Lepisosteus oculatus: one gene and its partner. The protein of the gene in region 2 interacts with the protein of the main gene of each other region in a pairwise test. Links are inferred from orthologs where the notes say so. Each region holds a gene or a part of one and is shown on either strand. Other genes may lie near its edges.

Region 1 (16,326 bases), on a different chromosome or scaffold from region 2:
CTACAAATGTTCACTCATATGTTAGTCTTCTTGCTTTCCAGTGTTACTTGAAATGTTACTGAACATTTTATATATAGATGGATGTGTGCACAAATTTGTTGTTCCTTTGTTTACCTTTTCAGTTTGGCAGATAATAAAAATAATTGCTTATTATTATTATTATTACACTTACTGTATATAGCACTTTTCTGGACACTCCACTTAAAGCGCTTTACAGGTAATGGGAATCCCCTCCACCACCACCAATGTGCAGCATCCACCTGGATGATCGACGGCAGCCATATTGCGCCAGAACGCTCACCACACATCAGCTATCAGTGGGGAGGAGAGCAGAGTAATGAAGCCAATTCATAGATGGGGATTATTAGGAGGCCATCATTGGTAAGGGCCAATGGGAAATTTGGCCAGGACACCAGCGTAACACTCCTACTCTTTTCGAGAAACGCCCTGGGATTTTTTATGACCACAGAGAGTCAGGACCTCGGTTTTACGTCTCATCCGAAGGACGGCACCTGTTTACAGTATAGTGTCCCCGTCACTATAGACGTTCCGGCGTTCTGGGGCATTAGGACCCACATGGACCGCAGGGTGAGCGCCCCCCTGCTGGCCCCACTAACACCTCTTCCAGCAGCAACCTTAGTTTTTCCCAGGAGGTCTCCCATCCAGGTACTGACCAGGCTCACACCTGCTTAGCTTCACTGGGTTGCCAGTTATAAGTTGCTGGGTGATATGGCTGCTGGCAAACTGTAGCTGTAGATAGACTGTAGCTCTCTCACACAAAGAGCACTGACTTGTAACTGAGGCAAAGATTGTGGGACTAAAAAATCTTCATTGCCTCAGAAAGGAAATACCACATTTCCAAATTGTGCTAAAACAGACTTCTGTGTTAAAGGTAAAATGTCTGATTCATGGTCAAGTTCTAATTACAATGTGTATTCTGTTTTATGCATGGTCTCCTTGGGTTGATGTACGTATGTATCAATATAAACAGCAGTGATTGTTGATATTGTTGTTTGGGTGGCCTTACATACTTAAACACATTAATAGCAATAAGAAAAATATCTACCACCATTGGTGATTAGATAAATTGGGTGGAAAAAAAAATCTATACTGAGTATCAAAATCATTATTACTATACTATTTGTGCATGGGTGATTTTGGATACTGATTAAATTAAAAGGTCCTTCTCTGGACAGTTCAATTGCATTTTCCAGTCACAACAAATGTGACTTTCTCTTGGGTCTGATGGAGCATTGTCTGTGACCATAAAAATGGCTCTCACATTTCTTTTAGAAAACTTGGTGAAAATAGTTCCAACACCTGAACTGTCCCACAAAGAGCTAGAATACAATTCTCCATTGTTAGTTATCAGAAACAGCTCATTTCATATGATACACTGCACCATGACGTTCTGAACAAATTAAGGCAAATCCCTGGAAGTATTTTCAAAATGGTCTCTTTTAACAAACTTTGCTTTAGAAATGTGGAAAGTTGTGTGTTTGCACATGACATGCAGCTTCATAATATGCAAGTGATCTGAAAAGGCAGGAATGCGGAGCCACATTTAATGCAACAGAACTATATCAGCTGATCTCTGCCGTTGACTAAAATTACCCAGCAGTCTCTTACAGTGTCGCTAGGACCAGTGTAAACAAGATGTGTTATTGATTACAGTGAGGTCAACCCTGAGACTGCAGGAATTGAAGTCACCTGCTTTAACTGATGCACATAGTCAATTAAGAGGACTTTAAACTGACAATTTAAGGGTTTGCATTTTACATAGATAAAGCTAAATTTAATAAAGAAATCACATGAAAATAACATTTTTGGACCTTTTTGATTTTTTAAGTAATCAAAGGGAATGTGCTAAAGTCTACGATTTTGGGTAATATCAGATATAGTACCAATGAGGTAACCACTGAAAATAAACAACAGTCTAATTTTGATAAGGCTAACTACTTTAAGACGGTAACAAGTAAATGTCTGATCCAGTTTTGCCAGCAATTACCAAGAATTGTAATTGGTTAAGTTGAAATTAAAAGTTAAAATATATACAATATAAGAACAACCATATCCTTTGATAAAATTATATATTAACTAATAAAACTTAATCACCCTCGTGATCTCTGAAGCTGAACCTAGATAAAAAAAACTCCCCGCTGACTGTTCAGGAATGAATGAAAGTCTGGAGCCACTGTATGTCCTTCTGAACTTTCATGTACAAAAAGCCTGTGTGAGCTACAGTAAGAATCACATAAGGGGACTCTTTTTCTTTCTTTTAACAGCTTCATGCACCTCTGCAAGTCCTCTCTTGAATCGTCGACCTCTACCTTGTAATCAGAGCTCTGTTGTGCCGCACCACCTTGCCAACAGACCTCAGTGTACCCAGGTCAATGTACTGCTTATGTGGCACAGATCAAATCTCACATTGATAGCCACCTTCCTGATTTCAGGTTCTGTTAGAGGAAATTCTCTCTCTTCTCAGATGTGATTTAAGCACATTTACTGTATGAAAACATCATTTTTACCTTCTTGCAATATCCATGTTTGGGCATTAGCTGTAGTAAGCTTTTTGACTCTTGACCTACTTCTGTGTGTTAGATCCTGTTTTGCAGGAAGCAATCACTTATGTCTGCTTATTGCTTGCATGCTGATGATTATTCCCTTCTGTCTGTTTAATGCTGCAAGAGAACTGAACTTATTCTTTTTTGAGAATGACAGTTTTAATATCAGATGCCCTTTTCTCTTCAAAACTGAAAGTATTAATTTTTTTCTCCCTATTGTAAGTGTTAGCAGGCTGCTAAATGTCCTCAATAAATCATAATCATCTAATATGTCTAAAATATATCTGCAATTTCCCTCACGGGATCAATAAAGTATCTATTTGTAAAACTGCAAATTAAATTAGTCTAATAAAATTAAAAGAAAAGGGGTTTTAAAATACTGCAAGTTTAAAAAGATTTAAATTTAAGTTAAAATACTGCAAGGTAGGCCAAGTGGGTAGTAACACTTGCTCATCGCAAAAAGGAGGTTTTTACCACAGTCCACGTTACAAAACATAAAAATATTCAAAATATACTGTTATTAACAAATGTCACCAAATACTCATTGTGTAAGGCGCATCCCTTGCTTGACTCTGAATAGTGCCGATAGTTTTGTTCTACTGTGACTAATTTTATCCTGTAACCAGCTATTTCAATACAATAAGACAGGAATAAGAAAACAAATCTTAAATGTCAGCTGTCAGAAACAGCACCAGGAAAACCATGTTACGGGGCACCATATGAAACCCGTTTTTCAGGTTAACGGAAGACCAATTTTCTTAAAAGGACGGAAGCTTCCATTCTGTGAATAAAAAGATGCCTTTTAAGTTACCTTTCCTGCCAAGCTCCAACTGAAGTCTCAATCTTACACTTTGTCTCAAGAAAGGGGACTTACTTGCACATTAATAAAGGCTGCCGATTAACATTCATACCGTCTCTCCAGCTTTGATGTCATTTTTCACCAACTGACATTCCTTTAATCTGCCCCTGTAACTTCATGAGTTAACAGTTTTTACCTTTTTAGCTTCGGCAGAGTAATGATTTGCCAGCTGCAGGACTCAAACGCAAATAATCTTTCAAATGCCAAAGCATTTTTTAAAATGTCAGCGGGTGGAGAATGCTTCTTGTGCTGAGAAAGGCTCTTTTTTTTTTGAGTAAACCGCCATAGGGTGATCACTGAAAGAAAGGGCATGCCGGTGCTCTTTTTTCACCCCCACAAAGATGTGGGGTTTTAAAGATCCCTCACCTGCAGGAAAGCGGGAGGCCGCCGGGGTGCCGCCTGGGAGTGGTCGCCGGTGAACTTGACGATGCGCAGGTAGCCAGGGTAGGACGGGGCGCTCACCTGGCCCTCCGGCGTCACGAAGAAGATCTGCACCCCCTGCTGGATGAAGAGCAGCTCCTCGCCATCCTCCCCCAGGCTCTGGAGGGACGGCGGCTGCGTGGGCAGCGAGCTGTAGAAGTTCTCTCCGACCAGGGAGAGCTCCCCGGCATCCGTCCCGTACGAGATGGTGAAGTGGCCATCGGCAGCCTGCGGAGAGTAGGCTGGGGGCAGCTCCCCAGAGACTCCCTGACACGTGGGGGCAGTTCCAGGGACAGGCACCCCGCCTACAGCCCCGGGAGGCTGACCCTCTGGGAACAAGACCTTTGGGGGAGGGGGCCTGTCTGGTCTTTCCTTTGAAGGCAATTTTGGGTACAAACCGTCGCAGCTCCTTGACCCCAGCTCCCCATTGGCGGGACCCGGGCTTGTCCCAGCTCCGTCGGGCTCCAGCGCCACCAGGCGGGTCGTGATGTTGGTCAGCGTCTCCTGCATCTTCTGCTGCATCTGCCTGGCAGATTCCCACCTAGATCCTGTGCACTCGGGCCCCCGAGAGGGGACGCTGAGCCCCCTGAGCAGCAGCTGCTGCCCCTGCCTGTAGAGCATCAGGGCCTCGGCCTTGTGGCCTGCCTCATCCTCCGTCAGCCCCCTGTTGATGAACTCGAAGGCCTTCTGGTAGTCCTCTTTGATGACCTGCACTCTGGCATCGTTCTGCTCCTCTGCTTCCACCTTCTCCATGCCTGTTAACCATCAGAAATGCAGAGTAATGGGCGTACACACACTAAGAAAAATGTGACATTTCAGGGACTCCTGAAGGTGATTAGATTTCCAGTGCATTAGATTTCTATAATTTATTTCCAACCCATTGAAAAAAAAGGTATTTCGTTTTTACTACTTCTCACATTATAGAGAATATCTAATCACAAAAGGTCACCAGTATCACACAGTGAGCATGTTTTTTATATATTCAAGAGCCTCCTATGGTACGAGAGTGAGCCTTATTTCCTCTACTGAAGATCCGGGTGAAACACATTATTGCTTCAGGCAAGACAGAGACTGTTTACAACAAAACTGGGTTATGCCTAATGTTAAAGGAGCAGATAGCGTCTACACAGTTTCAACAGAGAATCTCGGTTTTATCCTTTGGAAAATCTAAGTATTTTTAGGCGTGAACCGCTACTGCTGTAGTTACTCGAGCCAATCCAAGACAGCTCCCGGAGGACATGTCTCAGGGTTTTTAAATTTCACGTTTAAATAGAATGACAATTTCCAAATTACTAAAACAATGCATTGCAGACATATTTGTACAGGTTAACGGTGGATCTCACAGACGTCATTAAAAGTATGCAGTCGCTCCTGAAACACCCCGTGACAGTTTCACACGTTTTAAACATTCATCTTTCAAAACCCAAATCAGGGGCTTTTCGGATTGTAGGGAACACAGGATTTTAATCTAGTGACTAAAAAAAACATACGTTAACAACCAGGTATGCTGCTGGGTGACGTCTTAGTTTTAAACATGTTTAAAATAAAAGGCAATGTTGTATTAAAAAGTAATTAATAATCGTATCGCCTGCTCCTTTCAAAGAACTAAACCTTTCAACCAGGTCTACACGAGGTTCATCTTTTAATACACATTTTAACTATATTTGTTTAATCAGTTAACTCTATACTAACCATGTAATTATGGGAACCAACTAAATCTCACCTAAACTATCACTAAAGTTTAGAAAAGAACATCTTTAGCTACGTATAGGCTAATACATCTTACCTGTCTAGTACTGTAGCTTTGTCTGGCGGATCCAAAATCTTCTCGAAATATTAGCACAGTAACCTCTTAAAAAGCCTTTAACAGAGGTAGCAAGAAATTATAGAGAAAAATAGTTACATGATGTGTAACATATTGTAACGAAAACTGAAACCCCCTTTATTTCTTCAGTTTCAAGAAACCCAATATAATCTTAAACAGTTTACCATACAGGTTTATTAGAGCTCGCAGTCGTATATAATCCAATCCTGATTACGTCTAAAGTGATTATCCCCAGACGGGTCATATGCCCGCCCGCATCACCTGTCCGAGAAAGTTCCACTGGCTACGGCAGACACAGAAGGACAAACACCTCAACTACGAGCGCTACCTGATGGAAACGCTAGATGGCAACCTTTCCTTTAGTTGGTTGAACCCAGGCATCCTTCGAATCAACTTTCAAAGACGAAAACACCACACTTTAAGAATCTTAAACTCGTTTCAACCTCGTTTGAAAAGCACCAAAAAAAATTCGACAAGTTCCGTTATGTTTTAAGAATAACCCATTCATCAGGACTTTAAAAATAAAGGCAGAAAAGCACTGTATACTTCAGAAGAGCTCTACAATATTCAAAGTGCATAAGAGCAGGTTATTTGATCAAATTCAAAGTAGTCATATCTTTATTTAGTGCAATAGCATTTAAGGACTGCAACTAGAATTTACACATTGAACTGTTTAGCCCTCCAGGATTATAATCCAGGTATATTTAATATATTTTGAGTAGTAAATTGACATTCCAATAGCACCAAGAATAGTACACCAGTACCTAGTTATTGAAGATCTCAGACTGTGCCCCCAAAACCCTTGCAATAAGACTCATCGCTTTGCAAGTACACTACTCTGTAGAGTGGGGGGGGGGGGAAGGAAGTTATATAAAGAGATGTCTTTCTAGGCATCAAGATCCCAGAGTGTCAAAACTGTCAAGTTAATCTGACCAGATTGATTCCATGTTTTCTTACATGGAAAACACAGAATAGGCACATGGATCTGAACTCACCAAGCATAAAGCTGCAGTAACTAACTCAAACACTTAGAGCATTATTTCAACACAGGGTGGAATAATCCTTACAGTTCCAGCACAACACATCCATGCAAACAACAGCCATTAGCATGGATTGGATCTACAGGTGCAGTACAGCCACATTATTGAAAGCTTGACAGACAGTCATAGGTCAGCTGGATGCAACAAGTAGGGAAAAACTCCAGAAGGCACCTTTTAATAGTTTAGTGGATGCTTTGCTAAACCAGGTAGCAGCAACTTTTCTAAGGACAGACTAAGTCATCTATAGCAACTTAACCTGCTATAGGAATACTAAAGGTGATGAAGTCATTAAGGCTTCAGCTGAAAGCCCCTTTTAATTTGAAGTATCAGGGAGAGGGGGGTTAATGGCAGCCTACTGTAAGGGATACAAGGAAAATGGCAAAGAATGTAGTTGCCTTCCATTAATGCTTAAGCACATAAGCTTAAAGCAGGTAAGGGTACTCAGTGAAGGAGTTCAAAAAGCAAGCAGAAGGTACTTAGGATAAAATTTTATTGTTCATTTGACAGCCATCTCAGAACCATCATAAACATTGTAAAAAAATAAAAAGATTAAAAGTTCTGAGGCACTTGCAGGTCATCTCCTGGAGTCCCAAGGGTACAAAATCAACTTTAGCCAAGTTAAGTGCCATTTGTTCACATGATCCATTCCGGGGAGGGCTAGTGGAATCCTTTAATGCACTGGGAGGGAGTCTGGAGGGCTTATTAAAGATACACCACAGTACCTGCAAAGGAGGATAAATCATTACTACAGATCATGTCACAAATCAGGAGTGGTTTAAAAAAAAAAGTTCACCTACTTAGAGCTCTTGTACTTTACTCTCATGGCCTGTTGTGGTCGATCAGCTGCACCAAGATACACCTTGTGAAGATCTTGCAGGCAAGGTGCAATTTCATGTACAGAGTAACCAGTGAAAGCACAGAGAGATTCAGGCTGTTTGAGACAAGAAGCTTCATTTAGCCGGCCACAGAGAAGGCTTTAGAATGCTTAGCTATACAAGTATAAGAGAGGAGCTTACCCACAGTCTCCCATTAAGTGTGTAGTTTGCAAGACAGTATGCAGCTGCAGCAACCTTAGATGGGAGATGCTTTAGAAAAGGGTCCACATCCAGCAGGCTTAGTTCAGATACATACTGGAAGCAAAGAACTGGGTTTGAGAAACATTAACTGGTTACCCCTCACCCAATCTTTTGGCGAAGTGCCAGATCTGCACAAGGGCTTTGGTTTTAAAAGCCAAATTGCCAAGTGTACTTACTAGGGCAAGGTTTTCTGTTCTACTACAGACTGCTTCAATAGTCAGGAACTGCCTCAAGAATTGATAAGTTGTAGGTACAGTCATATCAAAGCCTAGGACCCTGAGAAACAAGTGCTCCATCCGTAGCAGCTGCTTCTTTGTGTAGGCTTCATCGGTGATGTAGATAAACTCGTCAGTCTCTGGGGGGTAGATCTCTTCATATTTCCTAGAAAATGCAGGGGCGCATTAGGAATGAACACCTCTAAACTCTCCATCTTTAGTTTAAAAAGGTGCTCATCTACTCAGCCTGGAATTCATCAATGAGCAGGTAGGTTCCCAAGAGCCCTGTACTTACGACGCAAGAAGAGCAGCTGCTGTCCCCACTAACTGCAACTTCTCTCGCAAGACAGACATGCAGGAGAGAAATCTGTCCAGGTAGTTCACAGTCAGGTAGAGAGTCTCCAGGCACAGTTTATACTCCTCCCCAACTTCAACCAGCCAGTCCACCAAGATAACGCGCATGCTGTTGGTAATGTCCGGTTGTTTCTTCATGTACCCAGGCTTGGGTCTGCACTTGACCTGAAGGTTACAGAGCTTGTTAGGGATAAGCACCCATTTCCTGAGGGGGGTACCAATTATGAAGAACCCACCTCACTCTCCCTCAAGTGGCAATAGATGTCCTTCACATATTCGAGCGAATCTGGAGGTGGCAAGGGCTCTTCATCCTCTGGTTGAGATTGCATGGATGCATCCTGGCATGACCCTGCTGAGTAAAGCAGGTAACAGTACCTAGTGTAGTGACTGTGCAACATTACAAGTGGGTAATTATATTGACTAGTCCATTGCAGTTATCATTAGTGGTAATAAGATGTTCATGCATAAAAATCAACTGCATATTTACTAAATGGCCAGCAATCAGCACAAGTGAGGCCAAGTGCATGAATCATATTTAAAGAAAATAAGTACTCCAACAAAAAGATCCAGTGTGGTGAACCACAGAAACACAAACCATTATTCTTTGTAAATTTACTTAAACCCTAGATGTGTTGTACATAGATGGATACTTCACTTTAGGAATGAAGTGAAACTGGATAGTTTCACTTAATGGCAGTCATTGAGACAAAAGCATGTAAAACCATAAGTCCTTTGAATACATGATCTAGTGGGCCCTGCCACCTTAAAAGATGCTCAACATAAAATGAAGCAGAGCTAGACTTGAGATGCCATTTTCCAATCATAGCTCTGCACAAGAACATGTTGCACTTCCACTCTGAATATAGGGGAGCCATCTTCAGTTCTGTTGTAGCTGAGACTACTTACCCGAACTAAGGTCCAAGAAGAGGCAGAACTCTCTGTGCTCCAACATGGAGGACTCTTCATATTGCAGCGGTGGTTCTTCAGACAGTCGTGTGCTGGGGACAGACTGGACAATCGCATCAGGTTCCTCCACATAGATTTCAAAGTTTGATGTAGAGGGACAAGTAGGAAAAGCCATCTTCTGGGATGAAGGGAATGCATTATCCCAAAGCGATCCATTCTTGGAGTGCAGAGTGCCCTTAAAAGGGTTAAGTAATACAAGTTATTGCCAGGGCACATCAAGCCAGCTAGGATGAGACCAAGAGCAGAATGCAAATGCTAGGTACACATTTACATTTAAACTGTTTTAGGATTAATCTTAAATCAGACAGCCAAAATATGCAATCTCTTACAGGGCCTTGGCCAATTTAGGAGATTGATTTATGAAGTGCATAAAGACCCAAGGCAGCTGAAGTTATACATTAAAAACCTCTCACCTGACCAAATGATCTGCTGTGCTGATCATTTTCACTTAGAGATCCTAGTACAGCCCTTTGTTTCGGCCTCAAATCCCACTGTGAGCGAGGTACTTCCATGAAGTTCTGTACTATAGGAGCCAGGTTCTCCTTGTTCCTGCAGCCCCCAACCAGGAAATAACTCATCTCCAGATGATCAGCTTAGGTGCAAGAAAAGTAAAATTAGGATAACTACGTTAGTTTCTAAAGATGCCATGCATGTCATTCTACTTGGATTGCTTTTTACCGTGCCCGTGTGGCAAGTTGTTAGCCAGTAAATTAGGAAGCCAATATACCACGTACGTTTTCGCGTACAAATAGGCTCACCACTAAAACAACACGGTCGCCTTCAGAAGTTATGAACATCTCGCATTAGAAGTAGCACAGAGCGAAAATTAAAATTAAACCTCTCAAACCTTTTAATTCGCGTAATCCAGATAATGCACGCCCTGCAGCCACAGAGTATATTTCTACTTTACATTAAAATCCTCCCTTAAGGAAGTTGGCGTCACTTCGACTATATATAGTTCTCATAAAATTAACCTGAATTCAAATTAAGCGTAATTATCAGCTCATGTTGTACACTCAGCTGTTGTGGGTCCATCAGTGACACATAGTAATTATTTTCAATCAGACCGCTTTCGAAGGTTTCGACCAATCAAAGTCCAACTATCAGACACGTGAGACGTCACCACAGCAACAGAAGAAGCTTTCACCTGCATGATTGTGCGTCTCCTTCATTGTCCAGCTGATAGAAATTACAGGTGATGGTGTTTTATCTCTATGGCGACACTTCAGTTGAAACTGTATGCCCGCTTTATTTCTTTAGACCAAAAAAAAATGCTTAAAATACTGATTTATAAATCAGTTATATCAGTTTAATTGGAATGCACACATGACATTTGTTCTTGTACTGATTTAAATAAACATTGCACACAAAAAGAGGGTCTGTATAGTTATTTTCTCGGCAAACTCTTCTCTCAGTAATGTCTGATTTCTAAGCCATGTGTGAAGAATTTCTGCACTGCTGCTCTGGATAATTTTTAGCTTTGACTCTTTCCTCTAGGTTTCTAAATGCCAGCTTTATAGCGGTTGGTGATTTTTTTGGTGCAGTACACATCTAGTATTTCCATATGCCTCCTTTAATGCCTGTCATATAATATAATTTTAGATGATCTGCATGGATAGAAAGCAGTCAAGAGCTTGTTTGAGGCAGAAGGGTGAACAGATAAAAAGATGCATTTAACTTTCAGAAATATCTAACAGGACGCCAGGCCGGTGCAGTGGGTTAGCGGTGCAGGGTGTTTAACAGCCCTGGGGCCCTGGGTTAAACTCCGGACGACCTGGGGTGCTGTCTGCACAGTGTTTGCATGTTCTCCCCAAGTTCATGTGGGAGTCCTCTGGGTGCTCCAGTTTCCTCCCTCTGTCCAGAAAAATAGAGTACTGGCAGGTTAATTTCTGGGAGAAATGACCCTGGTCTGAGTGTGTGGTTGTGGCTGTCCTTTGGTGGACTGGCGTTCCATGCAGGCTCCCCTGTGACCCTGAATCGGAAGCCATGGTTTGAAAATCGTTGGATGGAATCTATAATACAGCTGTTACTTTCAAAATCAATTTTAACTTCTGCATTGGATTTATTTTGTACACAAAAATGTTTATAAACTGTAATGTAGCAAAGCAGGTAATAAATGATACAGGGAAGCAGTAATCGTCTCGTCTATATTAAATCAATCTATTAGCCTACTAAGTTGCATTGTGACTTAGCAATTTAGAAGTTAGGTTATTTTTTCATGCATGTGTACTGATGATATGAAATAAAGAAAGTGTTTGTGTTTATATACTTTTTGTACATTATTATTAAATGAAGGAAAGTAAGTTTTTGCTTTCTGAAATGCTTGTAGGACATTAAGACAATTTTAATATTTTGTGTTTTTAATAGAGTCATGATCGTTATTTTTGATGCAGGAACCTCTGTAGTTATACATAAACACATTTATTGAACATATTGTAATGATTCAAGTAGTAGGTTTATTCCATGTTGAAAAAAAGAAGAAAGAAAACAACGTTTTGGCCGTGGGGCCTTCTTCAGGTGTGATGATCATGACTTAAGACATGACTTTTCATTTTCAATGTTCGTATTGTAAGCGATTTGTCATTTAGAAGGTTTGTCTCAATAGGTTGAGTTTTAAGAAAACAAAAAGTATTTATTTTTGGTTTGTTGTGTCAGTTTCAGGATTCAACAAAGCCATTATTAATGTCACACAGTCTAAAACAATGGTGTTGTCTCTGTGTTTTTCCATTAACAGGGAAGCTTTAACCATTGTTGGTGATGTTCTGTTAATATTCTATCTAATGTTCTTGGCTGTGCATTCTTTTGTTGTTTAATCTTCCCTACAACATTTTTTATCATGACTGAATAATTAGTCTTTATACTGTAAATGTGTTTCAGTACTGCTTAGTGTAGCAGCAAGGGCTACTGATTTAATATGTGTAAGAAATAATGAAGTACTGATATTCAAGTTCAGTGCGATCAACGTACAGCAGAGAAAAGGCAAGACGTTATGAATGAAGATTAAATGGTAATGATCTATTATATTAAAGGCCATCAATGAAAAATAAAATGCAAAACATGTTCCTTGGCACTATAATAAATCATGGGTAAACCAGATTCAATGAAGATAGATAAGGCTAAGTATAAGTATTTCTCTCTATGCCTGTAAAAACTGTACATCTTTCTACACCCAATGTACTGACCAAATGACTGGGAACAGAATAATCTACAAATAATAAATCCCTATAATTATTTAACCCTTTAAATAGTAATCTGCTCAAGAAACTCACGTTTGAGAAACATATGGAAATCATATATACAGGTGATTGTTCTCTCTGACCATTCAAGATTCAATGTCTAATTGTAAATAATTGCACACACCTTTTTAAGTAGTTAAAAACAGGATGGAAAATGACAGAGGTAGTTTTATAATGGACTTAGAATAAATTCAGCATATTACACTTACTTTAGGTAGTCCAAGATCAAGTGATGATGAACATATGATCTGTAACTTTCATTGAATATCAAAATTGGTAAATCAGAATCCAATACATTTTCTGTAAGTATTTACTGCATATGGCTAATAAATGTCCAACCACATTCAATTTTACTGCAGAATTAAGAGATTAATAACACCATTTACCATGACTCACCATGTTGGCTAAACAGGTAACCAAACACAGTAACAACACTTATATGAATACACAGATTTTGTTTTAAAAAATAAATGAAAATTCCTGAGTAGCTATGTGAGTACACATGTATTGATTCTTCATAGTCTGTTTTTGACTGAGAGCACTCTTCTGTCCCTGATCTCAGTCCAAGAAACCTAGACGCTTAATTTATTTGTGATATGCCAATAGATGTTAATCAGAGTTCATCTCAGGCTGAGAGATCACTGAACATGTGTTTTTAATAGTTGCAAGGGATAATGGAATGGAATTATGGGAGATTTACTTATGCTTTGAAACACAAACTAGTCATCAGTGACTGTTCACATAGATTAGAGATGTAGAATGATTAAAAAATCTGTTCTGCAGGAGCAGAGCAGTGACATAGAATGCGTTTTTTTTTCAAAATATGAATAAATCCGTTGGATTTACTGCTTACCCAGTAGAACGTTATCATTTGCTGCAGAATCCTAATGCTATGCAACAATCAATCACTTTTCAGAGGTGGGGTAGGGTGAATTTATTTTCTATAATACACAATATTGTAGAAAATATTAGGTGGTCTTATTTAGAATTTTGAATACTAAACAGATGTTACTATTAACTACTGTACGTGCAATAGAAGAGTAGGACACATTTCTTATGCTGAAGGTACAGTATGTATTATTCCCTGGTGGGTGAGAGCTCACAGTCGTTGGCTTCCTCAAAAACTGAACACATTCCCACGATGAGCCACATTCCACCCGGGGCTGCTCGGACTCACTCAGGGTGATCTGGCCCCCTCCAACCAAATTAACATGTGCTCAATCCAATGGGTTTGCCACTGTTTTGCCACTGATCCAGTGCTCTACCATTGAGCAATCCTCAGACCTAGGCAGTTCATTAAACAGTACTAACCCGTGTCACAGTGGAATACTCAACCTCAATCCTCCTTGAAGAATTTCAGTTAGTCATGAACCTGCTCTGCCTATCAGCAACCTGTGTCCCGACCACTGGAGCTGATCTCTCACAGCAGTGCAGCCCCTACCCCTATTTGTTTTTTTCCCTAAAGGCTGGGTTAACTTCCACCCCTCTGGCTTTGTCCTGCCTCATCCATCTCTGATGGCTCAATTGACCACATCACTTTGGGTCTGTCTGTCAGCCTCTGAAATATACAGTAAATGTAGGAAAACCTCCATACATGCTTCATTCCCTCATTCTCTTCCCCAATGGAGCCAGTTTCTTCGTCTTGCCAAAGAAGGATGGACCTCTTCTGCCCTGTATTGATAACATGGAACTAAACAAAATCATGAAGAAGAACTGGTACTGTTTACCTCTGATTCCATCGCTGCTGAAGAGGGCCAGCAAGTCCTCCATCATTACTAAAATACAGTAGATCTGAGGGGCACAACCTGATCCACACCTCGTGGGAAGGCAACAAGTGAAAGACGTCTTTCAATACCAAAGCAGGGCATTAAGAACACCTAGTACTGCCTTTTGGCCTGTGCAATGTTCCGGCCGTCTTCCAAAACAAAATCCCCTATCATAACTCTCACCAGGAATGGGGCCTGGCCAGGGCAGTTGGAGCCCTGACACATAAGAGGCCTGCAAGAAAACTGTGCCACTTCACCACAGCCCCAATCCTTCACCAGTTGGATCCTCATTACCCTTTGAGATGGAAGTAGATGTATCTGATATGAGAGTGTGTGCAGCCCTGTCTCAAAATTTTGGATTGCCACCCAAGATCCATCTGTGTGCCTTGTCCTGGAAACTCTGGTGGAGCACAATTATGACTTGGGCGACTGAGAACTGCTGGCAGTCAAGATGAGCCTCAAAAGAGTGGAGACACCTCCTACGGGGAGCCTTGCAACCTTTCTTGGTCTTCACGGACTATTAAAACCTACAGTACATCAGCCAAGCAATCAAAGGTTTCTGGTATTAGATTAATTATTTTTTCAGAAACTACAATGCAACCATTGGCAAGCGCATTGGGCCCCGTTCTTCTCCTTGGAACGAAGAACAGGACTTGACACCTTGTCGAGGATCTGTGCTCCCAGGGTTCCCTAGTCTCTAGCCCTGTTTCCTCCTGATGCTCCCACCGGGTTAACACTTTGTGCCCCAAAAGGTCAAGCCAGAAGTGTTAAACTGGGGCTATTCATCCAGACTGGTGGCCATCTATGAGGGCAGATGTGGAGGCATGTGTGGCGACTTGTTCTGCACGCTGCCAAGCCAAAGACTCCAGCACAGCTCCAACTGGCTTATTACTCTCCTGGTCAGTACCAGACTCTCTGTGGCAGTCTATCTCCATCTCCACCCTCCCCCCCACCCGCTTCTGCCCTGAAGACTGGGCTCACTTCAAGCCCTATGCAGTATGTTTATATCTAAGCTTCTCTTTTTTATTTGTCTTATTAAAAAAGAGGTTCATAAAGTGATGTAAAGAAATGTTTCTGATGATGGGGTACCAAGGAGATTATTATTTAAGGTGGACCACTGTTCATCTTTCAACTTCCCTGTGTAATTTTAAACTACTATCGAATAAGCACTAAAACAGTACTTTGACAGATCTACAGATTGAAAGTTTGATTGTTTTTATTCTCTCTAACTCCTTTTGTGAGTGAAAATGAATGAAAAACCTATCTTCTATAGAAATCAGAGAATATTGTTAGTCAGGCTATTACAGGTGCCTTTCATTCTAACTGAAAGGTCATTATTAACAAAAAGAAGTAAATGCAAACTGGGGCCCCATTTTTCTGGGAAATCAGCCAACCAATCCAAAATTTCTGGTATTAGATTATTTTTTTTCAGAAACTTTATTGCCCGTGGCTTTTTACAGACTATAAATCTTGCACAAGTCTTGTTTTCCATTTGCAAGTGTTTTAAAAGGACTGTTCAGCACTTTACCTCCTGATGACTGAAGAGGATGGCACAAAAGAGACATACACAATTGCTTTTATGAAATGTACATTATACTGTAGCTTACTTTATACCAGCTTAGCACACAGACAGCCTACACTTAACAGTATGCTGGCATCGGTTGTTTGTATTCTCCTACTGTTCCGATTTGCAGACATGGTCAGACAGGAATGCTCAGAACTTAATATTTTATGACTTTGTTTCTATGGCTGAATCTTAATGAGAGACACAAAAGCGCTGTGCCCTGGAAGTCAAGAAGACAGTACATTTTCAATTATTGGAGAATTTTTGTGCAAAACAGTGCAATTTCAATCCAAGAGAAATAAAAGCACTGAGCCGCATCCCTCTCTGCATAGGACATTTCAGCAGAGGCAAGGTCTTTCATGCAAATGACCCTTGTCTGGACAGCTGGCACAGACAGGAATAGCCCCTCCTGAAAAGTCTTGATACTGCAGGCACATGTTA
Region 2 (15,156 bases):
TCCGAAGGACGGCACCTGTTTACAGTATAGTGTCCCCATCACTATACTGGGGCATTAGGACCCACGTGGACCACAGGGTGAGCGCCCCCTGCTGGCCCCACTAACACCTCTTCCAGCAGCAACCTTAGTTTTTCCCAGGAGGTCTCCCATCCAGGTACTGACCAGGCTTACACCTGCTTAGCTTCAGTGGGTTGCCAGTTGTGAGTTGCAGGGTGACATGGCTGCTGGCCAATGTTATATACCGCTGGTGATATTCTATGTACTGTTGCGTGTATCGTATTTTTTGTTGTTGTAATAAAAAAAGAAATCAATTTAAAAATATTAAAAAAGTGAAGAAGTACTTGGTCAGCTGTCACTTTGTTGAACAACTGAGCTAAATAATGTAGTACAAACCTCAGAAAAAGATGCAATTTCTTAAATGCACCTCTAGTCTGAGCCAGATACAGATCCAGGAGGACCATGCCAGAGTAAAGAAGCATTTACAACATTTTCCAGGACTGAGCCAAGAGCAGACATGTGCTCTTTAAGAAGCCGAGCAGACCATGGCTTCTAAACCCGCAGAAGAAGAGACGGCTGAAAGACTTTTTTCCTCCATACGAGAGAGAGACCGAAGCGACCGGACCCAGGAAACCACAGTTTACAGGACAGACTGTGGTAGACGCCGAGTTAGGAGTGGTAGAAGAGAAACACGAAAAAGAGAAGAAGATAGCTTTGTGGAACTGAGACAAAAAAATCAGGAGCAAGCAGTGGTGATAAATATCAGCCAACATTACATCAAGTAACACTGACCACATTACTGAAAGCTAAAGGTTAAGGGAAACAAGCATTTTGCAAAAACAATTTTAAGCTATAAAAAGTTAATTCCAAAAGGAATCAGGTAAGGGCCAGACAGTCTGATTCTGACGGGGATCGCCAACGTGCTCACTCTAGTGCTAGGTACTGTATTAGACCTATTCATTTCCAAGGGTCTGTGAAGATCTGAGTTGTGCAGAATTACAGTTAATGTCCATATGAATACTAAAGTGCCCCACAATCAGAAAGTCTAGATGAGAACAAGCAAGTTGAAGTGTTTGAAATTCTAAATAGTGAAAATCTGTTTTTTTTTTTATATTTGTACAGCCAACTGAACTCCTCTTACAGATGACCCATCTTGGCTAAGCCTGAGGTGCTGCTCTCTAATCTTTGCTACCGAACGGGAAATAACACAAAGGCGAAGACCGAAGTTAAATGCTTAATGCGAGGAGACCGACTCCACATTTAAAAGAAGTCGCTTCACACCTCTCTTGGCAAAAAGGGGTACCTCTCATGCCCTCCTAGCCCCCCTCCTCCCCTCCCTAGCCCACCAGAAGCAGCGGCGAGATCAAATATTTATGTTGGCTCTTCCCGACAGATAGAGAAGCCTTGGAATTTGCTCCGGCCCAAAGCCCAGAGGCACATCAAACAAAGGATCCCGTCCTCCGTCTCCCTCCACCAGTCAAAACAATGGCTTCGCGTGTAAGCGTTCACATGTTTATGTTGTTAGAAGCTGAAAAAAACAAACAAGCCTCTTGTGAAAAGAAGCCCCCAGCCCCCCCCTCCCCTCTGCAGGCCTGCCCCTGCCTTTCACCTGCAGGAGGCGCAAGCACGCTACCTCTTCCAGCAAAACAAAAAAACAGGCTGGTCCAGGTCACTTCTCAAGTTTACATCCTCGATGTGTTCCTGCAGACATCCGGACAGCACTGGACCATAAAGGTAATACAGATTAAAGCAGAGCTGCAGCTCCCTTACAACCCATTTACTGAGCTGGACGCTGGAAAGAATCAGAAATGATATACCGAGGGTGTGAACTTATAAAAATCAGACAGGATATGTAAAACATAATGCATTTTGCCATTTTGTCTAATTCAGACCTTTAAGCACTTATTCAGTATCACGAGCTGAATAGTTTGAGTCTGAAGGACTACTAATAGGTCATGTAAAGGCTACAGGAAAGATCAGAAATACCTGTGGGTAGTAAAACAGCCATTTACAGATTTCCAAGAGAATACAACACAATAAGTAAACAGAATCGAAAGGCAGGCAGTCGTGTTTGAGACCAGGAATGAAGAAGTAGTCAAGAGCTTCACTTTTAATTTAATGGCAAGCAGGAAACACAAGTCTTTAATTTATACAACAAATGACATAAGGCGACAATATCCCTGTCAACGCAGCAGCCACAGTGCGACAAGCGGAGGGGAGATGGAACAACTCTCATCCGCATCAATTCACGGCCTCCAAGGCCACCCGATTCAACCTGCTCCGTTCGCGAGCTCCGGACCGGACGGGTTAAACGGTACCAGCTTACTGGCCGGTCAGTGACGCAACCCCAGTGCCAGGAGCGCTCAGCCAGGCAGGCAGTGAGCCCCCCGCTCCCAGCGCTCCGACAGAAAGCCGCTTGTTTACAGAGAAGCAGGACACCGCTTGGGCCCGGCTGCCAGCCTGGTGCCAAGTGAGCTCCCCAGAGCCGGGCTTCGTGCTGCCGCCGGAGCGCTGGGAACGGGCGCCGAGATCCTGCTAGCAGACTGGCACGCACTCGGAAAGGCGGGGGGGAACAGGAGAAGGAAAGCCACGCTCAGGGCAAGCCCACAGACAAAAAAAAAAAATAAAGAGAAAGAAAAGCTCGACTTCCTCCGACAAGCTGGCGAGAGGCGCTGACTGGACGGCATCGCCAAAGACGGAGTTTCCTCCTTCAACGCCGAACTGCGTCAGGCTGCCAAAGCATACCGGCACGCCCTGCGTTCGCGTCCAAAGACCCCGGAAAAAGCTGGGTGTCCCCGGGAAACCGCCCGCATCCCAGGGCACCCGGATGCCCTTCATGGCGTCAGGAGGACCAGGCTCTCCTGCTGTGCTCACTTGGACCGGTGAGGCAGGAAGGGCCGATCCAGCTCTGCCAACACCCTTCAGTCCACGGCGCACCCACCCAAAAATAAGGCAACAGGTTTAAATTACCCGGCTGGCTAACCAGGGCTGAAATGGAATCATGCTGGTTTCCAAAGGGAAGACTCCTCCCCTTCCCAGCACCCAGAGCTCCTTCGCTGCGGGCCATGAGATCCCCTTGGGATCGCTTCCTCCAGAAGCGAGGGGGTCCGCAGGAAACAACCACGCTGCAGGACCCCCAGACAAGCAGGTGACCTCTGGGCTTGTCCTCCCTGCCCTAGAGGCCATGTCAGAGTCTTACCAGTCCATCAGCAGAACCACCCCGGAACACGTCCCGGCCAAGAAAGCCAAGAGGACCTAAACCCACCCCCAAATAAATCAACCGTTCACTCCCGATATCATTCAGCAATAAAACAATCACGCTCTATCGCCTACCCGTTTACACGAAAATGTAAAATGAAATAGTCCTTCTGAAGCAGAGGATCTCTGGAGCGCATGGAACTCATTTTAAAACTCGGCCTCCCTTACGTCAGGGATCAAGAATGTTTTTTTTTTCACGTTCGTAACCTTGTGCAATACCTTCTTTGGCATCGAAAAATCGAAAACTATATTCTATTAATAAACCGTCGAACTAAAGCGGTAGCTAAGGAAACACTGGTCCCCTTTGGAAAAACAAAAATAACTGAATCAAGTAGACAATTCACAGCGACCAGCCTCATGCCTGGGAGAGACCTCCACAGACGAGTCTGCTGAAGTTCGTCTTGCAACAGATCTACCAGAATAAACTTTTTCTGTCTTTATCCCGACTCGACTAAGCCAAGCGCGTATATACACTTCTTTTAAAAAAATCGTTACAACGTACAGACGTTTCAGTTTATTTAAAAAGAGAAAAAAGTACTTCCAAAGTACGACAAAATCTAACACTTTCGTTTTGTCGATACTGTTTTTTGTACTTATTTGGCAAAACATGGTACTGTCGGTAAACTGTTTTTTTTTTTTAGAGTTTAGAGAATTTAGAGAAACTATTAGGAATTTGCAGGCAACGTTTCTTATTGACTTCGGAGTCGCCGAGACCGCCTCACTTTGCGTCTTCACAAGAAGACGTCCTTGTTCAAAAGCAAACAGATGTTTTCGAAATGAGCACGACGTGAATACTTTTCAAACTCAGCTGTGTTTGAAGCCCGGATTGCTTCGCTTGAAGACATTAAATCAGCGGTAATGGCATATTAAACTGGGACATCAGTAACACATTTCGTCTGTAATAACCACACCCCCCTAACAACCACTGAAACACGTAGATATTATGGAACCATTGCGAAACGGGACCAGAAACATCAGTCTCCATCTCCAGCACCTACAAACTTCTCAAAGATACATAGAAGCCACCCATCCATAAAGTTATTTGTTTTAAAAGCTGATCTCCGAGGGTGAACAGGGATAGTTCTACTCTGCATACTAGCAGTAGGAACGAACTACTACAAATAAGCGTTTCAGAAAACTGCATTAAAACCTTTGAACTTAACTGAACTTTCTTAATTTAAAAAAAAATAACATTGGAAAAACGATGAGGGCAAACACCTCCACATCTTAAACGATGTTATTTAGGAAGCGTTTAATCGTCGTTAATTTTCTTTAAACAAAGCACGACGTGCGGACGGAAACAAACAGTATTTTTTAAAAAGTCGTTATCAAGTTTAAGCTTATATTTTTTCAGTTTCTATTTGACTTCTAAGGCCACGCAAGAGCGAAACCTTAAAACTTAACAACTTTAAGTTTTTTTTAATCCAGAGAAGATTCCCCCCCCCCCTCCCAAAAAAAATAGGAACAGACCACACTTCCAGAAATGTAATTAAAAAAGCTGTTCTCCAGGAATTACTTTCAAGCAAAACAATTCTTACACCTAGGGCTCTCTTCAGTTTTAGAACCGATCGGTTTCAACACAAATTAGCCGGACAACAAATGCACTTCCCTCCTTCCTCGGCTATTTACAAAACTGCATATAAAACATTTTTTAAAAAACAGGGCTCCATTCTGGACGTTTTTAATGCAAAAAAAAACCCCGAAGCGCGTCACACGATTCGATGATTAAAAAGGCAGAGTACCCGGGCGAACAAACTTGCTGGCGCACGGCGCACACCGCTCGGGTCCGGACGGGTTCCCCGGGTTTATTTCAAAGCAGGAGCAGCAACAGTCACGACCAGGCACACGACAACGGCTAGCACTCTCCAGGGCAGCTCACCGCCGCCCTCCTCCCCTGCAAGAGCCGCCGTGTCTCAGCGCTCAGTGGGCAACTTGAGCCCCTGGGCCACGGCGGACAGCACACGGTCGGCTCCGTTTCGCCCACAACACAGGAACGCAAAACTCCCCCTTTCACACGGACACGTCCAGGCTGGGGACAGGGGCGCAGAGCCCAGGCGCTCCCGACCTTCTTGTTTTCTTGCCATTTATTTTTCCTCTAAAAAAAAAAAACGGGGGGGGCCACCTACCTGTCAAACGCAGTTTCACGGGGCCGTTCCTCCTCACCCCCTGGTTAGACATGTCCTTCGCCGCTTTCCAGCTTGAGTTGCGACGCTAGAAAATATTTACAAAGTATCTCTCTTTTTTTTTTCCTCCCCTCCGCCACCCCCCTCCAACCTCCCTCCTCCTCTCCTCTCCTCTCTTGCTCGCCAGCTTCACAGTGGCTGAATAATGGAGTCACGGCCCGGTGGCCCGGATGTGCGTCGCGCTACCATTATTTCACCAGCGCCGACACGCGCGCCCCCCACTCTCACGCGGACAGGAATGCACCCCCTCTCGCGCGCGGCGTCCTCGCGAAATGTTCCCTGCCTCCCCCGAAAGACACAGGTTCACCCCCCCCAATGCCGCCGCGTCCTGTTTGCAGAATAAAAGCAGCAGCAATAATAATAATAATAATAATAAAAAAGGCGAGCCACGTTCGAGCGCACTTTTCTCTTCCTACATCTCCGGGAAAGACGGACGCACTAGGACGTCGGCGGCACTCTGCACTCTTTCCCACCGGGATCGGTTTTGGAGTGAGAGTGGAAATGGAGTGTGTGCGCGTCCGCGCAAGACGCTGGGAAGAAAAAAAAATAAAAAAAAAGCTCTTCCCAGTCAGCTCCCCCAGACGGCTCTCCTCCTCCGCAAGACGGCTCTCTGCTGACCTCTCCAGACAGACGCCGGCAGCTCTTGCGAAATTACAGAGACGTGCATCGGGTCCCGCGACTGTGCAAACGCGATTTTTCTTTTTAAAATAAGCCGAAAACGAACGTCCCGCAGCCCCCTGCATCGGGCTCCCCGTCATCCTACACGATGCACACGTATCGGTGATGGCGCACGCTGGTGTAGCTGCATTCGCGGTTAACTTCAATTGTGTAGCTGCACAATCATCTTCCATCCAATCCAGAAGTTCCGTGATGTTCAATAGCATCAAGTTCAAGTTTATTGTCATTATACTCGTACACTGGTATATGAACAAGTAATAGGTTTATTCCATGCTGAAAAAAAGAAGAAAGAGAACACAACGTTTCGGCCGTGGAGCCTTCTTCAGGTGAACTGTACCCACCTGAACTACCCACCTGAACTACTACCACTGGTATATGATATAACGAGATGCTATTTAGCTAGCTCTCAGTCGGTAAGTAGTACAAAAAACAACAACAATACAATTGTATGAGAAAAGAAAGACAGAGACAACAGGCAGTGTGCAAAACACCAACAGGTGTGCAAAATCATACATCAACAGAATGAAATAAAGGATAGGAAATTATGGGGAGTGAACTTCTTGACGTGAGGTAGAGGTAGATTTCAATGTGTGTTTGGGATTTGATGAAGAGGGAAGGCACTGTGAGGGTTCAGATTGTAGGTGAGAGTGGCTGGGAGTTTAATAGTTTGATAGTGCGGGGGTAAAAACTGTCTCTGAGGTTGGTAGTCCGGTCCGAATGCTCCGGTACTGTTTTCCAGATGGTAGAGGGTCAAACAGTCTGTAGCTGGAGTGTGTGGGGTCTTTGATAATGTTAGAGCTTTCCTCAAGCACCGTCTGTCATAAATGTCCTGTATGGATGGGAGAGCAACCCCAGTGATGGACTGGGCAGTTTTCACCACCCACTGTAGGGCTTTGTGGTCAGCAATACTGCAGTTGCCATACCACACTGTGAAGCAACCTGTCAGTGGGGCTTTCTGTAGTGCATCTGTAAAAGTCAGGGAGGATCTGGGGAGATGTCTTAGCCTTCTTCAACCGCTCACCACTAGAAATCAGTTGCTCATACGGCTGACCATAACAAGAGGGGGAAAAAAAGAACTTGGTTTGCAACACCAACAGGATATGTCTCTTAAAATGTAGTGTACAGGAGCAAACATCAATAACACGCTGAAACACTGAAGGAAAAAAAAACGTTTCCGTGGACACCCTAAGGCTGAAGAAATGCCACACGTCGTAGAGTTAACTGCTACCTGCTCACTCCAACCTCTCTACCGCATGTGGGACGTCCTGTTCCCTTAAACTGATTTCAGGAATCCTGCCTCCAGCTCCCCCTGCAAGCACACCTCAGTCCGGTCGGGTCCAGTTCCTTGTATTCAACACCTTGGAGACCCATTTTCTCCATCAGTGAAGTGCAGCAACACCTCCAGGTGTGTCATCCTTGCTCCAGTGGCAGCCCAGCTACACAACAGGGCAGGCAGGCACTTCACCAGTTAAATTAAGGGGAGACGAAGGCTAGCAGGCACCATACAATCAAAACACCAGTTCACACCCTGTAGCTCTTAACAGCACCCTGGGCCTTTCGGTGACCAGGTTAAAACTCACTGAAGGGACTAACACAGCAGTCCCTGCTCAAACTGGGGTACTACTTCAGAAATTCCAGGGCAGACAGGAGAGCACGTATTGATCTCCAAAAAACATTTAGAGTAAGAGAGGCCAGGCCAGGCCCAGCCTTGCTTTTCATACAAAACCAGAGTTCTGAGCAGACAATTTACAGTAGTCTGGTGCAAGAATTCCCCTGGATCTTTCAGATATCCTACAGAAACCGCTTCCCTGTGCATAGACTAACCATTGGAAAAACCCCTCAACTGTGGTTCGAGTAGGCAGATGTGTAGACCGCAAGAGAACCAGAAGGCTCCACAGCCAAGACGTTTTCATTATGGAATAAACGTTTACCTGTTCCTTAATCCAGGTTGTCAAAATAGCTCACAAACATGAAACTGGATGCATTTAGTCTCATTCAATTTACCCGTCCAGAAATCACCATCAACCGTGAAGTGTTATCCTTCAGGGATAATGAAGGACTTCAGCAGAAACCAGAACTTGTCCCTTGTGGACTTCAGAGCCAAGAGCTCAGGGTGCAGCTTCATTGTGAAGATCAAAGGCACAGATTGCAGACGAGTGGAAACATCAGTCCTTCTAAGCTGCATTGATAGACACTTTTGAAAGACGTATCTAATAAACTTTATTTACATTTCATACAATAAAGGTTTGACAGTCACATCAGTAACCTGTTATATACATCATGGAAAACACTGCTACACATATAAAAAAGACAGACAGCATAAAAAAAACTCTAGAAGTTGAAAGTGCTTTCAGCATCTTGGACCTGGAAGGCATAACCATCAGTCGTAGCTTCAGGAACAACACACTGGTCTTCCTCTTCCTGTGGCAGAGGAGAGAGAGAGATGAGTACAAGCTGGTCTGACCCATGCATGTTCTGAAGTAGTGAACAAGGCACCTCTCATTCTCCCAGTGAACCTCGAGCTCGTCGTCACAAGTCGAGCCACACCAGCCCACAAGGCTTGTGCAACTGGCACCTCTTCAGACAAGCATCGCATTTCAAACACCAGTAGTATAAATTCCACCAGACCCCCCCCAAAAAAACCCAAAACTTGTATATTATGCTCACCTCTCCAGAGAAGTATTTATCGATCAGGTGTAGGGCAGCCTTGTAGACCATCTCGTTCTCATGGGACTGCAGGGCTTCAATCTTATCCAGGCCTCCATACTCCTCGATCATCACGGCCAGCTTCTCCACCTCCCCCAGCTTCTCGCCAGCCTTCAGGACAAGCCCACACACCGCTGGTTAAGAGTGGCAGTAACAGGGGGCACCAAAGAGCAATGGGAGCAGCACTCAACACCATCGCCAAGCATGAGCAAAGATCGCAATCTGCCCCTTGGTGACCACCTGGCTTGCACTACTCCCCACATGCACATCACTAAACAAATCAAGATCAGGGGACATCAGTCGTACCACTTCAGAGGCAGGTCCAAAGCTCAGCACGTACCAGGAAGATGTTCGAGATGGCATCCAGGATCACAAGGAGAGTTTTGCTGTCCTTGGTGGACAGAAGGTTCAGCAGGGGCTCCAGCACGTTGGACTGAACCAGGTACACCACCTGTTCCACTGTCCCCCCGCTGGTGTAGTTGGTTATAGCCCAGACAGCCTCCTTCTGCGCCTTGTAGTCACCCTGGGTGGGGTAAACAGGATAAGAAAAACGCAGATTTACATTTTAAAATGATACCTAAAAAGTAAAAAAAAAAGACTGCCCTATAGTTGTGGACAAAGGTTTTGCATTTCAAGATTTAGCAGAGCTTTTGGCCAAAGCTGTTAACCCCCCCAAAATATAATCTCCTTCAGAGCCAACAAAGAACCCCAGAACACCAGCTTACTCTTGAATGACTTGGGGCAAGGGCACTCTTGGATGACTTGGGGCAAAACTTTGGCTAGTTTTGTTCAAGAAAGCAATCTAGTCATTCTAATCTGGTGCTGGGTCCATGGTTCTTGGTACAAACAGCTGAGCAGGTGAACAGGTCAGAGTAGCTACAACAGAACCCAGACAACTGGACCTCAAGAGGGAAGCCCCAACACAGGGAGGGGCAGCACCGACCCACCTTCTGGAGCACCTCCACCAGGTACGGGATCAGCCCGGCGTTCACAACCTCCTGGATCTGGGTGTCGCGCCCGGCGGTGATGTTAGACAGGGTCCAGGCGGCCTCTTTCTGGATGTTGCTCTTGTGGTGCCTCAGCAGGGCTGGGAACATGGCCAGAGCTCCGGAGTCCAGCACTATCTGGGTCTGCTCATCCGTGCCGGTCACTATATTGCCGATTGACCTCAGTGAGGGAGTCTGGAGGGAAGGGGGTAGATAAGCTTTACAATTCAAGCAGACCTTCAGTTACCAAGTAAGCAAGGGACAGATCCCCATCGGTACATTTACCAACCACTGTGCAAGATGCATGCACCAGTTAACCCCTGTAATACCACCACAAGAGATCAAGAACACAAGCTACCAGAACAGTTCAGTTGTCTTTACAGCAGTCGCAAGGACATTCACATAAATCTGCAAGAACCTTAAATGCAAAAAAAAAACCCCAAAACTTAAAAACAGGAGGAGCCATCTTTAAACCCACTGTGTTGCCCTGTGCCCTTGAGATGACAGTTGTTTTTAACAAGGCCCACAGTCTAAAGCAATGGCTTTCAAAGTGTGGTCCGCAGACCACCAGTGGTTCGGGAGCTGACCTAATCTCTTAAAGCAAGCCTAAGCTCTTAAAGTCGGAGGAAAGAATGGTGTAGTGTCCACTACAAAGGGGCTCCCCCTAGGAGCACTGTTAAGAACTGCAAGCTATAGTAGGAGGTTCAAGGGGTTTCACCAGCCATTCCGATTGCTCAAGAAAAGCAGCTCAGTTTTTCCCCACATTAACTGTAATAACCACTTGCAAAATATACAGCTTTGTTTGTAAAAATTTGTACTTTTCATAAAAAGTAATTGGTTATTTTTTGTACATTCCTAGGTGATTTTTACAGGGTAAGAAGGGGACATAGGCATACATGGTCCACTGCATCTGTGACTTAGTGTAAGTGGTCCGCGGACCACAGGCCTTTGAGAACCACTGGTCTAAAGGAATACAAGCCGTCCCGAGTCCGTGGGGGACGAACGAAGACGAGACGTACCACAATCGGAAGCTCTCCGGAGCCGAGCAGCTGGACCAGGCGGGACACCAGCCCGGTCCGCACCACCACCTCGATCCGGTCGTTGGGCCCATCGGTCAGGTAGGACACGGCCCAGCAGGTGTCGGCCAGCACCTCCCGGTCGTCATGGTGCAGCAGGCGCACCAGCGTGGGCAGCAGCTGCTGCACAGCCGCCAGGGGGGGCGCTGGGTTCTTGTTCCGGCACAGGTTGGACAGGGTCCAGGTGATGTTGCGCAGGTACCCGGACTGGAAGACACGAGGGACAGGAGAGTCTGCACGTCACGCCTGGGGAACTGGATTGTGAGCCCCCAGCGCCATCTAGTGCTCAAACCAAGCGAGCGACCCGGAAGTGTTCATTCACCAACAGGACGCCCGAGACGTGCAATACAGGACCACACTTTCCTGGATAAGAGGCTTGGAGGAAAGGCTTGAATAAACATCCAAGTCTCGGCTCTGAGAACTCACAGGAGCCCCATCACACGATCCCCCGCAGTAAGCCGAAGCCGAAGCGCACTTACCGACAAGGCCGACAGCTCGGGAACAGCGAGCAGCGTGACAAGGGGATCGATGGCTCCGTGCTTAATGACTTTGTCCCTGTAAGCAGATCCATCACCTGAAACGGGAGGAGGGGGAGGAACACCGCTGAAATTCCTGCCACAGGAACAAGTCCTTCCAGGTCACAGGGTTCACCCCCCCCCCCCCCACACCCCCCTGGGAAAGGGGAACTTGCTACTGGAAGAGGGGTCAGTGGAGCCAGTAGAGGGCACTCACTGTGCCCCAGTATAGTGACAAGGACAATACTGTAAAAATGGCACCAACTTTTAAATGAAAGTTAAAACTGAGCTCCTGGCTCAGTGGTTATTTAAAATCCCAGGGTGTTTCTCTAAAGGATTAGGGATGTAACCCCAGTGTCCTGGCCTAATTCCCCCCTGGCCTTTATCAATCATGGCCTCCTAATAACCCCCCTCTCTGAACTGGCTCCATCACTCTGCTCTCCTCCCACTGAGAGCTCGTGTGTGGGGAGCAGACTGGCGCATCATCCAGGTGGGGCTGCACACAGGTGGTGTAGGGGATCCCTGCTACCTGTGAAGCGCCGAGATTGGAGTGTCCAGAAAAGATGTATGACAAAGGATCACCCCTACCCCCACCCAGGGACAGTGTTCCCCATCTGGCCGTGGGAGAGGTGTAAGGATGCTGCTCGAGTGGAGCCGAGCTGCAGACCCACCTGCGATGTTCCCCAGCGCCCAGATGGCCTGCTCGCTGATGTGGGGGTGCGGCGAGAGCACGAGGCCGATGAAGGCGGGGATGGCCCCCCCCTCCACCACGGCGCGGGTCTGCTCCGAGGTGCCCGAGGCAATGTTCGTCAGCGCCCAGGCGGCCTCGAACTGGATCGGGGGGCACTGGGACACGCCCAGGAAGGCCACAAACTTCGAGATCAGCCCGGCACCGATGATGCTGTCGATGGGGGGGTGCCTCTCCCTTGAGAGCAGCTTCCTGCAGGCACGAAAGAGGGGGTTCCCATGCTGAGACAGGACCCCAGGGACCCGGGACCCCACTCTGCACGCGTGCAGCCAATGCAAAGTGCTGCAATAACGCCAAGCCTTTGCTTTCTCGCGAAAAGCACTGTGGTAGAAGCAGTGGCTACCTGGATCTGTTCAAGGCTATAGCACACCCTGTGCCCATTAAGGTCCAAATGAAAGATGCAGCCCACTGAGAGCCCATCTGGGTCCAGAGTTCTGATCAAGCCACTTCTCAGAAGGACAAGCACCTGGCTTTGGCAACACAGCTCAGTAGGTAGCTCAAGACCCACGACAGCAGGGGGGGGGGGGGGGGGACGTTCACATTTTACAACAGCTGAGCTCCCGCACATCCGAGTAAGGGGGCAAGTGCAGCCCCCCCCCGTTGTCTTGGAGAACAGAGTGCAGGGACACTCGTGTCTGTACACGCGTGCTGACAAACGGATCGGACGAGAGCCATGCCAGCACTGCAGGGCTCTTGCAACAGATTGATCGGAATACCCCGGCGCAGTACTCTCCATTGACTTCAAAATGCTTCGATTCACAAGCAGCTTCAGGACCGATTGAACTAGCATGGTCTGCGGTCTTAAGACCGCTTGTCAAGAGACATTTAAAGTTCTACCCCCCCTCCCGCCACCACAGACCAGGCTGCTGCAGCAGCAGCGTCTGGTCCCCGGGTTTTCAGAAACACTCATAGGAGTCTGTCCGGTACCTCGCCGCCTGAGTGGCCTGCAGCTGGAGGTCGGGGTTGTTGCTGTTCACGCCATTCAGGATCTCCTCCACCGTCCAGTGTGGCGCCCCCTACAGCAAGAAAACAGGGTTTTAGGCGGCTGACCCAGTCGGTGGCTCTGGGCTCAAAACACGTCAAGGCACCAGCGCGCTCACACGGGGAGAGAGCCAGCAACAAACCCGTCCGAAACCCGGGCGGTTCCGGGCCCGGACGGGCAGCGGTAAGACCCAACCACCCCCCCCCTCCGCGGCGAGAGGCCCAGGGCAGGGAAGGTGACCGCCCTAGGGGCAGCTGCCCTAAAGACAAAACGGGGCGGCACCAACCCCTCTAAGGAAGGACAGTTAGGTCTTCCTGCGGCAGAACCTGCCGAGACCGGCAGCCATGAGCGGCGCCGACCCACGCCAAGCGCGACCGCACGTTTTTACGTTCATTAAGGAAACCGCAGCGACAGCCACGGGACCCGAGAGCCCTGGCGTTTCGAGAGAAACTCTCCCACCCCACCCCTCCCCTCCTCCCGAGGAGCCGGGACCGGGCCGGTACCTGTCGGTTCTGGTTCTTCTCCTGCAGCGGCGAGGTGGCCTCGTCCGGGAAGCTGCTGACGTTGCGCCGCTTGAGGATCTGCTCGTCCTTCTTCGCCTTCCGGAGCTCGACGTTCACCTCGATCCGCCGCCTGCGCAGCTCCTGCGGACGGCAGAGCGGGTCACACCGGCGCCCCTCCGAGACCCCCCCAGCCCAGCCCTGCCCAGCCCAGCCACTGGTCAGGAAAGGTCAGCGGGCGGCCGGTCGGGGTCTTACCGTCGCGTCTCGCCCCTTGTTCTTGAACTTGCTCAGGCGAACCGTGTTCTCGTTTCCCGCAGACATGTTGTAGCTTTCTTCTCCCTCCCCTCAGCCGAGCACGGACGATAGCAAGAGACGGGAGCCGTGGAAGACCGACCGACCTAGACAGAAACCTAAAAGGGAAATGAGGCAGTTTCAAATACCAGATTTTTTTTTTTTAAATCAAACTTTCGAGGATCGATTTTCTTTTTTTTTCCGGGCACACATGGTGCGGTAGCACTGACAGGACTCCTAACTCAGCACGTCAACAGCCCGGAAAGACCAGAGCTAACGGCTTTAGGAACTGGACGTGATCACCTTCAGCACGCATTTTTTTTTAAATTAAAATGACAAATATCTACCCCTTCCCTACTTGCGTGAATCTACCGGTGGGGGGGTAAGAGAGACACGGCTTACCAATTCCCAACTCGGAAACCAGTGAGCTGCGCACGCCCGCTGCCGCCCTTTAAATCGCCAGCCGTGCGCGGCTCTGATTGGCCCGTTCGAGCGAAAGCGCCCCCCCATTGGCCGGTTTTGAAAAATTACATGATGCGGGGAGGGCGGGGGCGGCGAGTCGCCAGGGGCAACGCGCCCGCGTCTCGCGAGAGGGAATCCCTGGGACTCGCGCTGGGGGAAGGGGGCGGGGCTTCCTTGCTTTGGCGTAGCTGGCTCGCAGCTCAGTGTTTTTTTTTACTTTATTTAAACAACAAAATAAAATACAGTACAAACAAGAGTACATATCACATATCAAAAAACATCGTCGGGGGGTACATATATCGATACAAATACACATTATGACAACAGTGCAAACGGGGTAAATAAGGATTAGGGTCCGCACCGATGTCATGCTTTTACACATGCGAAACACAGTAAGTCCGCAAATACGCCTGCACGTCTGTGTTTTTAAAATGTTCAAACACACGACTCTTCCCTGACGCTTTCGCTTCGTGCGAACAAGAGCGTGCCCGTGTGGCGCACGCTTGCGACAGAAATGAGAAGCCGTGCCGTGCTTCGCCTGCGCTTCCGCTGACGCACGCAGGGGCTGTGCATGCCTGCAGCCTAAGAGGCGAGCCTGGCTCTGCGCACAACGTGGTGACCCAGTGGCCTAATGGATAAGGCATCAGCCTCCGGAGCTGGGGATTGTGGGTTCGAGTCCCATCTGGGTCGTGTGCGATCACATGTTTTAGAACCGGCGAGCAATTTCCTTCCCTCTCGTAGCCCTTGCCGAGACAGGGAACGCCTGTCGCG

Evidence for each region.
Region 1: the proteins of smurf2 (region 2) and sparta interact in a two-hybrid assay, tested with the Homo sapiens proteins (2 studies listed by BioGRID and IntAct). The link is inferred for Lepisosteus oculatus from reciprocal best matches to the Homo sapiens genes SMURF2 and SPART.

What each region holds. Positions count from the first base shown.
Region 1 is NC_090700.1:15,640,920-15,657,245, forward strand, and holds the start of sparta (spartin a), read right to left. Parts: upstream 5,941-16,326; 5' UTR 5,630-5,940; intron 4,599-5,629; 5' UTR 4,597-4,598; coding exon 3,790-4,596; intron 1-3,789. Other genes in the region: ccna1 (cyclin-A1), read right to left, coding at 7,379-7,430, 7,506-7,639, 7,725-7,838, 7,961-8,165, 8,295-8,518, 8,590-8,705, 9,260-9,494, 9,733-9,897. UniProt on the Homo sapiens protein: Lipophagy receptor that plays an important role in lipid droplet (LD) turnover in motor neurons.
Region 2 is NC_090704.1:45,612,660-45,627,815, forward strand, and holds the start of smurf2 (E3 ubiquitin-protein ligase SMURF2), read right to left. Parts: upstream 5,978-15,156; 5' UTR 5,434-5,977; coding exon 5,382-5,433; intron 1-5,381. Other genes in the region: kpna2 (importin subunit alpha-1), read right to left, coding at 8,448-8,537, 8,784-8,933, 9,163-9,345, 9,770-10,003, 10,828-11,091, 11,364-11,458, 12,071-12,339, 13,075-13,163 and 2 more. UniProt on the Homo sapiens protein: E3 ubiquitin-protein ligase which accepts ubiquitin from an E2 ubiquitin-conjugating enzyme in the form of a thioester and then directly transfers the ubiquitin to targeted substrates.